3 linked regions of the Sus scrofa genome follow. The main gene of each other region encodes a partner of the protein of the gene in region 3 in a complex. Links are inferred from orthologs where the notes say so. Each region holds a gene or a part of one and is shown on either strand. Other genes may lie near its edges.

What was found. Proteins that work in one complex are often made in the same cells at the same time.
Region 1: the proteins of GLE1 (region 3) and DDX19B are in contact, whole or in part, in a crystal structure (PDB 6B4J), measured with the Homo sapiens proteins. The link is inferred for Sus scrofa from reciprocal best matches to the Homo sapiens genes GLE1 and DDX19B. Residues at the interface, in NP_001003722.1 of Homo sapiens: Lys416, Lys419, Met420, Gln423, Lys424, Thr427, Ile428, Ser431, Gln432, Ile433, Ser434, Thr435, Ile436, Lys440, Gln458, Ser459, Gly460, Lys479, Lys483, Lys486, Gln487, Glu490, Glu491, Ser494, His495, Gln554, Gln562, Asn565; in NP_009173.1 of Homo sapiens: Cys325, Asn326, Tyr328, Gly329, Ala330, Ile331, Thr332, Ile333, Ala334, Glu356, Gly357, His358, Gln359, Arg378, Arg380, Glu381, Gly382, Lys383, Glu384, Lys385, Glu400, Gln401, Ser403, Phe433, Gly434, Lys435, Arg436, Asp469, Asp470, Leu471.
Region 2: the proteins of GLE1 (region 3) and NUPL2 are in contact, whole or in part, in a crystal structure (PDB 6B4I), measured with the Homo sapiens proteins. The link is inferred for Sus scrofa from reciprocal best matches to the Homo sapiens genes GLE1 and NUP42. Residues at the interface, in NP_001003722.1 of Homo sapiens: Ile385, Ile593, Leu598, Asn599, Trp602, Arg603, Ala606, Gln607, Leu609, Asn610, Gln636, Tyr637, Gln638, Val639, Gln640, Lys643, Met644, Ile646, Leu647, Glu650, Asp651, Tyr652; in NP_001357375.1 of Homo sapiens: Asp185, Asn186, Val187, Leu188, Phe189, Gln202, Phe203, Gln204, Ser205, Lys206, Lys207, Phe208, Leu210, Gly211, Lys212, Ile213, Pro214, Leu215, Lys216, Pro217, Pro218, Leu222, Leu223, Asn224, Val225.

What each region holds. Positions count from the first base shown.
Region 1 is NC_010448.4:13,348,237-13,352,588, forward strand, and holds part of DDX19B (ATP-dependent RNA helicase DDX19B), read left to right. Parts: intron 1-521; coding exon 522-636; intron 637-3,022; coding exon 3,023-3,200; intron 3,201-3,545; coding exon 3,546-3,783; intron 3,784-4,352. UniProt on the Homo sapiens protein: ATP-dependent RNA helicase involved in mRNA export from the nucleus.
Region 2 is NC_010451.4:91,998,574-92,002,646, reverse strand, and holds the end of NUPL2 (nucleoporin-like protein 2), read right to left. Parts: intron 3,221-4,073; coding exon 3,136-3,220; intron 2,506-3,135; coding exon 1,946-2,505; 3' UTR 849-1,945; downstream 1-848.
Region 3 is NC_010443.5:268,892,668-268,897,682, reverse strand, and holds the start of GLE1 (nucleoporin GLE1), read right to left. Parts: upstream 3,403-5,015; 5' UTR 3,283-3,402; coding exon 3,184-3,282; intron 504-3,183; coding exon 282-503; intron 1-281. UniProt on the Homo sapiens protein: Required for the export of mRNAs containing poly(A) tails from the nucleus into the cytoplasm. May be involved in the terminal step of the mRNA transport through the nuclear pore complex (NPC).

The DNA.
Region 1 (4,352 bases), on a different chromosome or scaffold from region 3:
GGTTTTGGTACTCCAGTGGCTGTTTCCAAGTGTCTTTGCCCAGCCAGAGGTCTGACCCTTGAGAATTGTAGCTTATTACTTTGTAGCTTAAAGAGTCAAATAGTGTTCACTTTATTCTTTCCTGGAGTTCCCGTCGTGGCACAGTGGTTAACGAATCCAACTAGGAACCATGAAGTTTCGGGTTCGGTCCCTGCCCTTGCTCAGTGGGTTAACGATCCGGTGTTGCCGTGAGCTGTGGTGTAGGTTGCAGACGCGGCTCGGATCCCGCGTTGCTGTGGCTCTGGCGTAGGCCGGTGGCTACAGCTCTGATTGGACCCCTAGCCTGGGAACCTCCATATGCAGCGGGAGCGGCCCAAGAAATAGCAACAACAACAACAACAAAAAGACAAAAAAAAAAAAAAAAAAAAAAAAAAATTCTTTCCTTCAGCCTCAGCCGCAGGAATAGTTAAGGCCTACTGGTAATTTCCCATTGCAGGAGCGCAAGTGTCTTGAATTCTCTCTCTGTACTCTTTCCCTACCAGTGTCTGTGCCTTTCCCCAACTTATGAGCTTGCCCTTCAAACGGGGAAAGTGATTGAGCAGATGGGCAAATTTTACCCTGAACTGAAGCTAGCTTATGCTGTTCGTGGCAATAAATGTGAGTATGAATATAAGATCCTAATTAAGTTAATAACTTTTTAATTTGAAAATTTTCAAAATATACTCAGTAACTGAAATAATACAATGAACATGTGTCCACCTAGATTCGAAAAGTTATGAAAGGAATGGATGTGTATATATGTATAACTGAATCACTTTGTTGTACAGCAGAAATTATCACAACATTGTAAATCAACTATACTTCAATAAAATTTAAAAAAATGAAAAAAAATGTTAACATTCTGCCATATTTGCTTTTGTATATGGGTGTGTATATTTTTGGTGAACGATGTGAAAATAAATTGTAGATATTGTGGCTCTTTACCCCTAAATACTTTAGTATGCGTTTCATAATAAGAACATTCTTCAGCATACCCACAAAACCCTTATTACAACCAAGAAAAGATTAACATATTCTCTTCTATTCTGTTTTCATGTCCCCCTAATTGTCCCAGAGTCCCAGAAGTGTTTCTTTAGGCTTTTTTTTTTTTTTTTTTTTTTGGCCAGTCCTATGGCCTGCAGAAATTCCCAGGCCAGGGATCAAACCTTCAGAACTGCACCACAGCAGTGACAACTTGGATTCTTAACCCACTAGGTCACCAGAGAACTCCCTTTATGACTTTTTTGTTGAACCAAGACTTAGTCAGTGTATATGCATTGTATTTGGTTTTTAAGTCTCTTTCAGTCTAGAATAATCCCCTCACATCCACCTACTCCGCTACATTTGACTTTTTGAACAGACCAAACTAACTGCTTATAAAATGCTCCCAATTCTGGATGTTTAATTGCCTAATTTTTTTAATGTCATTGTAAGAACAAAAAGTGTTTTAGAGTATTCATGGCAATTAACTCTGGGAGATATTTTTATTACTTTTTCTTTATCTATCCTTTCTGCTTTTGCATGTTTCACACAGCAAGCTAACTATATATTTTTTGAACAATACTTAAGTAAGTTAAAGTTTGTTGGAATCTTGGCTTAGTCCTATGGATCTTTAACACAAACCTATGACTTGATGACTGTCAGAAGTCCACTCAGTACAGTGTCTTAATGCCAACTTAAGGCAGTTCCGGAGAGAAAAGTAAATAAGATAATAAAACTTAGTTTAAAATCATCATAAAGCATGTGAAATACTGCAATTTGGGAGTTCCCTGGTGGCCTAGGAGGTTAAAGATCCACCACTGTCACTGCTATGGCACAGGTTCTATTCCTGGGCTGGGAACTTCCCCATGCTGTGGTGTAGCCACAAAAAAAAAAAAAAAAAAAAAAAAAAAAAAAAAAATTCAGATTTGAGTTCGAATGGCAGAGGATTCTGATTATTTATTTGTCTGCAGAGGGCAGTAATTGGTTTGTTAACTGAAGTAAAAAAGCATTTTTTAGCTTTAAATTGACTCAACATTTACTTTAGGGCAAAATTTTGGCTGTGACTAGAGGGAGCTTCTATGTATCTGGTTAAGGTTTTACTGTGATTAAAGGACAAAAAATTGAATTAATGAGTACCCTCTAACTCAAAATGAGCCAAATTTCAGTTGCAAGCTGCACAGGACCAAGAATGTGCCATGATATGCCAGGCCCAATCTGGGAAAGCACTATAAGAGAGGCAGTTTGTATCTTTGAAAAGAGAAAAATAACCTTTCATAAGAATCTTATTTACTGATCTGGGCAAGGGGCACACAAAGGCAACTGACTTACTTGACATAGATGCTGGGAGAACTGAAGGGCAAAGTACACTGGAGTGAGAAGAACTTTAAAGAGGTCTACTTGTAAGGAAATGCATACCCAGGCTAGGGAGGATGACGTTGACAGAGAAGAAATAAAGATAAGAAATCTTTGAGAGGATTGATGATTATAGAGAATGTAAAAGAATACCACCGAAGAGGTTTTCACCTAATTATTTATACCATTGCTATATCTTGTCAGCATTACTGTTTTTTCTAAGTTATGTCCATTAAATACTGTAGTGCTGTCCCAACCTTTCCTTAAAATATTAATGCAAACATCAGCCAAATTGCATTAAAAAACATCATAGCTTTAGGGAGTTCCCGTCGTGGCTCAGTGGTTAACAAATCCAACGAGGAACCATGAGGTTGCGAGTTCAATCCCTGGCCTCACTCAGTGGGGTTAAGGATCCAGCGTTGCCATGAGCTGTGGTGTATGTCGAAGATGCGGCTCGGACCCTCGTTGTTATGGCTGTGATATAGGCCAGTGGCTACAGCTCTGATTCAACCCCTAGCCTGGAAACCTCCATATGCCGCACACTCGGCCCTAGAAAAGATAAAAAGACCAAAACAAACAAACAAACAAAAAAACATAGCTTCAGAATTGCTCAGGGAGGAGAGCTGGCTTTGTCATGGAAATACTCACAGAATACATCTTGTCTCCACAGTGGAAAGAGGTCAGAAGATCAGTGAGCACATTGTCATTGGCACCCCTGGGACCGTTCTGGACTGGTGCTCCAAGCTCAAGTTCATTGACCCCAAGAAGATCAAGGTGTTTGTTCTGGATGAGGCAGACGTGATGATAGCTACTCAGGGCCACCAAGACCAGAGCATCCGCATCCAGAGGTAGGAGCTCTTGGGCCAGGAGGAACTTCTCCTCGGCCTCCTGATCTGCAGCCTCTTCTCCTTTCACTTCACACTCCTCTTCTTGCTCCAGCTAGGTGCTTACTGCTTTCAGGGGCATCCGGTTTGAGGCCCATTTCCATGTCAGAAATGACCATACCCCCAGCCTGGGCTGAGGAAGGAGACTTAGGGGACTCCTAACACCACCCGGCCCTGCCCCACACCTGCTCCTCGATGTGCCACCCTCCTGGGGACGTAGATCCCCAAGCTGGGGGAGGCTGTGCTCCTGTTCCTTCCAGAGAAACGCTCGGTCGGGGTCATGCCCAACACCTGGGCCCTCCTTTGCAGGATGCTGCCCAGGAACTGCCAGATGCTGCTTTTCTCTGCCACCTTCGAAGACTCTGTCTGGAAGTTTGCCCAGAAAGTGGTCCCAGACCCAAATATCATCAAACTGAAGCGTGAGGAGGAGACATTGGACACCATCAAGCAGTATTATGTCCTGTGCAATAACAGAGACGAGAAGTTCCAGGCCTTGTGTAACCTGTACGGAGCCATCACCATTGCTCAAGCCATGATCTTCTGCCATGTGAGTAGCACCAGCAGCAGCAGCAGCAGCAGCAGCAGCAGCAGCAGCAGCAGCAGCAGCAGCAGGAGGGAGAGGCCTGTGGGGGGTGGAGCTCCATGAAGGGTGTGGCCCCGGCCCCAGCCTCTGGGCCAGCTCAACTTAGTGCTGGGGGCTCAGGTTCTCTCCCTGTGGCTGGAAAAGAAATGAATCACCTCCATCTGCCCCTGGACATATCCTCTCAGGTTGTAATGGAGAAGACTGATGATCTAAACCTTCTTTGGGAGTTCTCTTGTGGCGCAGCAGGTTAAGGATCCAGTATTGTCACTGCAGTGACTAGGGTTGCTGCTGTAGTGCATGAAATCAGTCCCTGGCCTGGGAACATCCACATGCTACGGGTGTGGCCAAAAATAAATAAATAAGCAAACCTTTTTTTTTTTAAGCCCGCACCTGCAGCATATGGAGGTTTCCAGACTAGGGGCTGAATCAGAGCTATAGTTGCTGGCCTATACCACAGCCACAGCAATGCAGGATCCAAGCCATGTCTGTGACCTACACCACAGCTCATGGCAATGCCAGATCCTTAACCCACT
Region 2 (4,073 bases), on a different chromosome or scaffold from region 3:
TAAGTTTGAGGAAGATGTGGAGAAACTGAAATCCTGCTGGTGGGACTGTAAGATGATGTAGCTGCTATGAAGGACAGTGTAAAGATTTCTCAAAAAACTAAACAAAGAGTTGCCTCATGATCCCGCAAACCTATTTCTGGCTATATAGCCAAAATAATTCAAAGCAGAATCTCAAAGAAATGTTCATTACAACATTATTTACAATAATGAAGAGATAGAAGCAACCCAAATGTCAGTAACAGATGAATGGATAACAAAAATGTGGTTCATACACTACTATTACACAACCTTAAGGATAGGAAATTCTATCATATTCTACAACATGGATAAGCCTTGAGGCCATTACACTAAATGAAATAAACCAGTCATAAAAGGACAATTACTCATGAGGTATCTAAAGGAGTCAAATCAGGAGTTCCTGTTGTGGCTCAGCAGGTTAAGGACCTGAAGTTGTCCCTGTAAGGATGTGGGTTCAATCCTTGGCCTGGCTCAGTGGCTTAAGAATCCAGTGTTGCCACAAGCTGCAGCATAGGTCACAGATGTGGCTTGGACCTGATGTTGCCATGGCTGTGGTTAGGCCTGTAGCTGCAGCTCTGATCCAGCCCCTGGCCTGGGAACTTCCATATGCTGCAGAAGCTACCACAAAAAGAAAAAATAAATGAAGCAGTCAAATAATAGACTGTAGAAATGTGATTGTTCTTATAGGAGAAAGGAGGGAGGGAAATTCTATTCCATATGCTGGGGTTCCAAAACTGTTTGAATCATACAGTTCTTCAAAAGGTGTAACGGAAAATCTGGATCCTCTGAGGATTGAATCCTTTGCATATATACTAAAGTCATGTGGAGTACATCTTTTATAAGTTTTTATTTTATTTACACCTAAAAAAATCAGTTCAATATCAGATCTAGTTTAGGTAACTATTCTCAAAGTGCCAGCTATGTCATTTTTGAGGCTTGAGAAAGAAACATTGAATTCTGACATATATGCTTCAGCTCATGACAGGTCTTTGGCTACTTGGATCAACTACATATAAGATATACAATATATTGCCCCAATCTGAGGACACAGAGAGACACAAACGTGTCTGAAAATTCTAATAGAAACAGCTGGTGAATTCGACTCCTCTACATACACTATTTATTCACATGAGATCATAATTTCCATTCCTCTTAGAATCCAGCCACCTGATGGAAGAATGTGAGGAAAAAACAGTATTACAGAAAAATTAGGCCAAGATAAAATTAGCCTAAAATTGCCAAAGAAAACTCAGATGGTCCATGAGACAGTCAATATTGAGTGGGAACAATTCTGAGAGGTGGAGTTCCCTTGGGTGCAGCAGGTTAGGGATCCTGCATTGTCACTGTGGCACTTTGGGTCACTGCTGTGACTCGGGTTCATTTCCTGGTCTGGGAACTTCCGCATGCTCTGGGAGTGGCCCATTAAAAAAAAACTGTGAGGGGAAAACGCCCCTTAGGTCCTGAAAATAAAAGTTTCCGCCCTTTAAAAACTGCTATTTCGTTAAGAGAATCTTCTTGAACATGAAAGTCAGGCTTCTGATATTTATTTGGTAAGTAGGTTAAACATTCAAGCATTTTTCCCTACTGGTTCTAAAAACTGTCTCATTTCTTTAAAAAAGTTTAAAGCTAAAATTTTAAATGGTAAGACAGTAAAGTGATGTAGAATAAGAAAAGTACTTTATTCAGTGTGGATTGATCATTTTTTCAGTTTCATTCATAATAATAGTTAAAAAAAATCTGTTCTTGAGTATTTTTTATGTTCCATTTAAATAGTTAGGTTCAAGGGGAAAATGTTAAATTTAAAAACTAATGTTATTAAAAGTTTACATTTCTTATAAATTTAAATGTGTATATATATTTGCTCTTTCATATGAACCACTCAAAACAATTTTAAAAACTGTTCTTTTCTATATTTAAAATTGCCCTTTTAAATATTTATGAGTTCCACAGGCGGTGGCTTTAAGGGAATTTTTCCCAAAGTGAATTTCTTAGATTGAAATTGTTCTAGTTCTTCCACTGTTAGTTGATCCTTGGGTGTGAATAATACATTATCTGTTGTGCCATGTGAGACTGGGAGAGAGGTGGATAGGCTGCTATTTCCAAAGGTGTCACTGGATGACTTGGAAAAAGCAGCATGAGAATGTGAGCCAGGACTACCAAAACCAGCCACAGAACTGCCACTTCCAAAGGCTGGGGCAACAGGGTCTGCTGCCATTGGAGCTGGAAATCCTGAAAATCCGGATGATCCAAAACCAGAAGCTGCAGGGGTTTTAAACGAAAATGAAGCAGCAGATGTGATTTCGGGCTTCCCAAGTCCAAAAGTTGGGGCAGAAGCGCTGATGGCAGAACTGGCAGAGGGTGTGGCTCCAAATGCCGGAGTACTCCCAAACACAGAAGGACTTCCAGAGGGGGCAGCAGCAAATGAAGACCTTGGTTTAAAACTAAAATTCTGAGCACTACAACTGCTGTTGCTATTCACTGGAAAACCTACAAAGAAACAGAAAAAAAAAATATTAGAAAAGGTAGCTATATGTCTATCCCATGCCTCCTTTTTTTTTCTTATTTCTGCCATGTTTAAATGATGAGAAACTTCCTGGAAGGAAGAAGAAAAACATGAAAATGAGAAGCCAGGACAAACCCACGAAACCCTGTGGTCTGTCTTTCTGCTACACTGATCTCATCTGTACTGTAATTTACCTTTACTCACAGAGACTGCTCTTGAGAAAACTCAGGGATGAGGGAGTGACTCTTCATTTCAGCTTGTCCCTCATGTCACTGGGTCTGTCACTTGAGGTCAAAATTCTGCTGTTACGTATAGGGACAAGAAAGTCCTCAAAGGTGCTACTATCATAGTAACGTATTACTATAAAACTCTTGAAAAACCATTCCTAAAATATACTTCTAAGCTAGAGGGTCTTTCAGAGAACATGCCCATTCCGGCCCCCATTTCACAAATGCTTGATGAGTCAAATTCTTTGAAGCTCTCTTATAGAAGGTGGTAGAATTTACAAGAGTGACTTGAAATGGCACTTAATCAACCTTCAGGCTTTATGATTTGAAACCTATAAAATCCTATTTTTAGAAATCAGTGAAGTCCTGCATTACTCCATCACTTACCTGGTGACCCAAATGTTACTGCCTGACTACTGCCAAATCCAAATGCAGGTGCTGCTTGCTTTACTCCATCTTTTACATCAGAGAGCTATTAAAAAAGAAAGAATATACACTTTATATAGCCAAATTAAATTTTTACAATGTGCACTTAAAAATGTGATGGTAAATGCTTAACAGAGAAAAATGCCCACAAATGAATACTCAGATAAAATATGGACCAGCTTCAATGAATTCAGAGTGATTATCTAGCTGATAAATTATGGATGGTTTTTATTTATGCTTTTAAAACATTTTCTGAATTTCTTTGATGAATACATATTAAAACATAAAGATACCTTTTATTTTATTTAATTTTTTGGCTGCACCTGTGGCATATGGTAGTTCCTGGGTCAGGGATGGAATCCACGCCATATCAGTGACCCAGGTAACTGCAGCAACAACACTAGATCCTTAATTTGCTGTACCACAAGAGAACTCCAAAAAAATAATTATTCTTTTTTTTTTTTTTAAACAGCTACACTTATGCCCTGGAAATTCCCAGGCTAGGGGTTGAATTGTAGCTGCAGCTACAGGCCTATGCCATGGCCACAGCAACACCAGATCTGAGCCACATCTGTGACCTACACTATAGCTGGCAGCAACTTAACCCACTGAGTGAGGTCAGGCATTGAACCCGCATCCTCACAGAGACAACATCGGGTCCTTAACCCACTGAACCACAAGGGAGCTCCCAGGAAAAAAAAATATATAATTTTTTTGTCTTTTTGCCATTTTTTTTGGCTGCTCCCATGGCATATGGAGGTTCCCAGGCTAGGGGTTGAATCGGAGTTGTAGCCGCCAGCCTACACCACAACCACTGCAACGTGGGATCCGAGCCGCATCTGCGATCTACACCACAGCTCACGGCAACAACACCGGATCCTTAACCCACTGAGCAAGGC
Region 3 (5,015 bases):
TCTAAGGCTTCCAGTAACCAACAACAAAAAGGGAGATCTTATGAGTTAAACAGATGCAATGCTCGTGAGAACAAACAATCCTATTAATTACTATTCTTGGTACCAAGAATAGGGAGGAATTCCTTTGTCTGGGTCTTCACAGAGAGATCACTGGGTGCTGTGGTAAACGTCGTCCCTACAAATAGCTACAAGGAGAAGCAGCCATTATTTTCACCAAGAGTAAGGTCATCAGAGTAGGACAACATTAAATGCTTCAACTTTGCAGCCACCGAAAGCCTCACCTCGGTTCCATTCGCCGTTGCTGAGGAGGCTGATGAGAAGGCACGGTCTCTTATGGGAGACGTGGGAACAAACGAAGGTTGGTCGAGGGCTGAAGTAGATCTAGGGGATGCTGAAGTCTCGGAAGGAGGAGGGTTCTCTTGCATGTGAGGTAGGACATGATCTACCACCCACCCAGAGTAAGAAGACAGCTTGGGAAGAGACATGCATTCTTCTAAAACATCCTAGAGGGAAGAAGAGAGTTAAGCTCAACTTTCATGTCACCTGATCTAAGCAATCAAAAAGAATTTTGGGGAGTTCCCGTCGTGGCGCAGTGGTTAACGAATCCCACTAGGAACCATGAGGTTGCGGGTTCGGTCCCTGCCCTTGCTCAGTGGGTTAAGGACCCAGCGTTGCCATGAGCTGTGGTGTTGCAGACGCGGCTCGGATCCCGCATTGCTGTGGCTCTGGCGTGGGCCGGTGGCTACAGCTCTGATTAGACCCCTAGCCTGGAAACCTCCATATGCCACAGGAAGCGGCCCAAGAAATGGCAAAAAGACAAAAAAAAAAAGAATTTTGTCCTTATAATCCACTACATGTTTTGTTGAAAACCCAACGCCTAAATAAATAAATACACACAAACACACGAAGATAAAGACATACTGGAAATAACGGTGAGGCAACAACGCTTTACTTGTTTTTTTTTCTTTTTTTTTTTTAACTGGCCACACCTGCAGCACATGGACGTTTGAGGCCCAGGGACTGAATCCGAGCCCCAGCTGTGGCACCGCTGGATCCTTTAACCGAGTGGGCAGGGCCAGGGATCACATCCATACCTCCTCGGCGACCTGAACCACTGCAGTCGGATTCTTAACTCACTGTGTCACAGCGGAAACTCCTCGTTACTCATTCTTTACACCAAAATAAATTTCAGGACCAGAGCTTCAAATGTAGAAAATAAAAACCATATATACAAAAAACGCCACTGGAGTTCCCGTTGTGGCTCAGTGGGTTAAGACCCCAACATAGTGTCCGTGAGGATTCAGGTTTGATCCCTGGATTGCTCAATAGGTTAAGGATCCAGCATTGCTGCAATCTGTGATGTAAGTTGCAAATGTGGCTCAGATCCTGGGTTGCTGTGGCTATGGCACAGGCCAGCAGCTACGGCTCCGATTCAACCCCTAGTCCAGGAACTTCCATATGCTGTAGGTACAGCCCTAAAAAGAAAAAAAAGAAAAAAAATTTTGGGGGGAAATACCAAAACCCCAGTAAAAAAAGGAGCAAAATATATAAACTTGAAATTTGCAAGTAAAGATATAAAATTGGTGCTTGAATATAGAAAAAATGTTTGATCTCAATCAAGATAAAAACATACTGTAAAACCACACTGCAATCTCATTCTTACCTATGAGACAGGCAAAAAAAATAAAACGATACATTCTGCTGACAAGGCCGTGGGCAAACAGGCATGATCATGCACTGCTAACTGGAAGACAAACAATATACCCAGAGAGAACGTGGCAATAAATAATAAAACTACATCTATGCCTACCTTCTGACTCAGCATCTCACTTCTAGCATTTATCCTGAAGACAATACTTCACACAAGGTGGAAATACAAGCGTTCCCGTCATGGCTCAGTGGTTAACGAAGCTGACTAGCATCCATGAAGATGTAGGTTCAATCCCTGGCCTCGCTCAGAGGGTTAAGGATCTGGCATTGCCATGAGCTGTGGTGTAGGTTGAAGATACAGCTCACATCTGACGTGGCTGTGGCTGTGGTGTACGCCGGCAGCTGTAGCTCTGATTGGACCCCTAGCCTGGGAACCTCCATATGCCATGAGTGCGGCCCTAAAAAGACCAAAAAAATAAAAATAAAAGACGGAAATACACATACAAGGTTACAAGTAATGGATCATAACTCACTGAATAAAACAGGAACCCGTGAGGATAGTGATATAAATAATTAAACGGGAGAAACGAAAGCACTTCCTTACAATATGTATAAGGAATGGTAGACATAAAGAAACACCATTTGGCTACATCACAGAAGAGACTAATTCATGCAGAAGTCGTCAATAAACGCTAAGGGTGGAGGTTTGATGAGAAAAAAAATATATTGGTCTAATCTTGGAATACCCCCCCACAAAACAGTAATCAATTACAAAGGGAAAAATGATTTTCAAGTGGATTGGTATCTGGCAGATACCAGTGTGACCATGTGATCAAGGTCAGTGCCATCACCAGTGCTGGGCTGGAATGAAGCACCTGTGTGTTACTGATGTGACCTATTCATGTGACTTACTGAGAACACAGCATCATTTCTGTGGTATTCCTGCCAAGAACGCATAACCTGAGTCTACACCAAACAGACTCGTGCTGGGATTCATGCTATATAAAGTATGTATTCTTTAAAACTGTCAAAGACATAACAAGGAAATGCTTTAGAACTGACACATTTAAGCCTGAAGAGACAAACGTCACGTCTGTACCTAGATTACCAGCAACTCGGGAAGAAGAGCTGAGCCTTAACTGTCTACAGTACAGGGCTTTGCAAATCCCAGGTGCACGGACCACGCCCCCATTACACTTTCCAGGTCTGCCCAATGTCATCTAAAAATCTGGTCTTTTCATTGGGAGCAATAGGTTAGGTCACATTAACCTTTCACCGCTAAATCTGGATCTCCCAACGGAAGAGACGCGCAGTAAATTCGCTGACCCTAAGAGGCAGGGGCGCCTGACTCCGGCCTGGAGGAGAGCACTGAAACCTCCAGAGAAGGGCACCTCTGAATAGGGGCTCCCCGAAAAGCCAAACCAGGCGGGAGAAGGCAGAAACGCCAAGGCAGGGTGAGGCGCACTCAGGAGTCAACGGCTGGTTGTTACAAAGAAGCAGCGTCCCGTGACGCGCCTCTGGGCCATTGCTCACCTCGCCCCGCAGCAGCCAGTCGCGGTGGTAGCACAGGCGACCTTTGCCCGAACTGCGCAGCGCCTGCAGGGTCTCCCAGCAGCGACCTTCCGAAGGCATGGCCTGCCTCGAAGCAGCTCCTCACAGGTGCCGCCGGAGACAAAACAACTCCTCGAATCAGCCGCCCGGAAACGGGTGCTCGCTTCCGCTTCCGGGGCGCGCACGCAGCTGCGCACTGCAACCCCGCCCCTAACGTCCGCATGGCCCCGCCCCCTGCGCCGAGCCCGCCCACTGACGCGCTTGCGCACGGAGCTCGGCTCTGGACTGTCGCTGCGTTCCAGGGAGCTGGGTAGACCGAAGGCCTTCGAAGGCCGGCCCTTTGAGCTTGCAGAAAACTGAATAGGTGGTGATGAGGAATGCAGAGGCATTGGAACCCTCAGACACTGCCGATGGGGGTCTAAAAGGGGGCAACTCCTGTGGAAAACAGTCTAGCACTTGGTCAGAAGGTTAAAGAGTTAACATTGACCCGGCAGTTCAGCTTCGTATATACCCAAAAGCTACGTGTCCACAAAGAACGTAGAATATTGGTAGCAGCATGATGTACAATTGCCAAAAGATGGAAGCTCAAGTGCCTATCAACTGATGAGTCAATAAGATATGGTGTATCCACACAATGGAATATTGGGCCACAAAAATCAAGTACGAATACACGCCTACAACATGAAACCTTGAAAACACTATAAGTGAAAGGAGACAGTCACCATATTGTGATTTATGTGAAATGGGCAAAGTGACAAAGCCAAAAAGACATAGGGACTTTATTAGTGGTTGCCAGGGGCTGGGAGGACGGGAATGGGGAGTGGATGCTAACAGGTACGGGATTCACTTATGGGTGATGAAAATGTTCAAGAATTAGATAAAGGTGGTGGTTGCACAACTTTGAATATACGAAAAACCGCTGGATCATGCACTTGAAAAGAATGCATTTTATGTTACGTGAATTCTACCTCAACAAATGATTCACCGTTGCCGGAGGCCAGCTTTAAATAGGGACACTTGAACTTTTGACTCTTTTCCCCATTTCATGGGATCTCAGTTGAGGCAGAAAGGAAAACGCTCTGGAGTCTGAAGCAATAGAAACATTTTTCATTTATCAAAAACACTCTGGGCTTTTTGTCATACAGTATTTTACAAAGAAAAATAGAACGTTGTTGGGAGAATTCCAGCAATGGCCCCCAAGGGGGGTGTTTCCCACACCAGCATCACCCACAGCAGAGCTCTGTACTGAAGAGGTTTCCATTAGTTTGACAAAAATAAGAGTCATGAGTTATACAGAAATGAATACACATGGGTGTGAGTTTGCCAACTGTCTTTTTTTTTTTTTTTTTTTTTGGCTGCACCCATGGCATATGGAAATTCCCAGGCCAGGGATGGAATCCAAGCCCCACCTATGTCACAGCTGAAGCAACGCCAGTTCCTTAACCCACTGCACCTTAATCCACAGCGACATGAGCTACTGTAGTCAGATTTGTTTAATTATTCATTTTTGGCTCTTTAGGGCTGTACCGCAGCATATGAAAGTTCCCAGGCTAGGGGCTGAAGCAAAGCTGCAGCTACTGGCCCACACCACAGCCACAGCAACTTGGGATCTGAACCTCATCTGTGACTTACACAACAATTCATGGTAATGCCGGATCCTTCACCCACTAAGCGAGGCCAGGGATCGAACCCGCATCCTCATGGATCCCAGTCAGATTTGTTACCACCGAGCCACGACAGGAATTCTATGTGGTCATTTCTTAACCCACTGCGCTGCAGCAGGAAGCCACAACGGTCTCTTAAGATCTTTCATA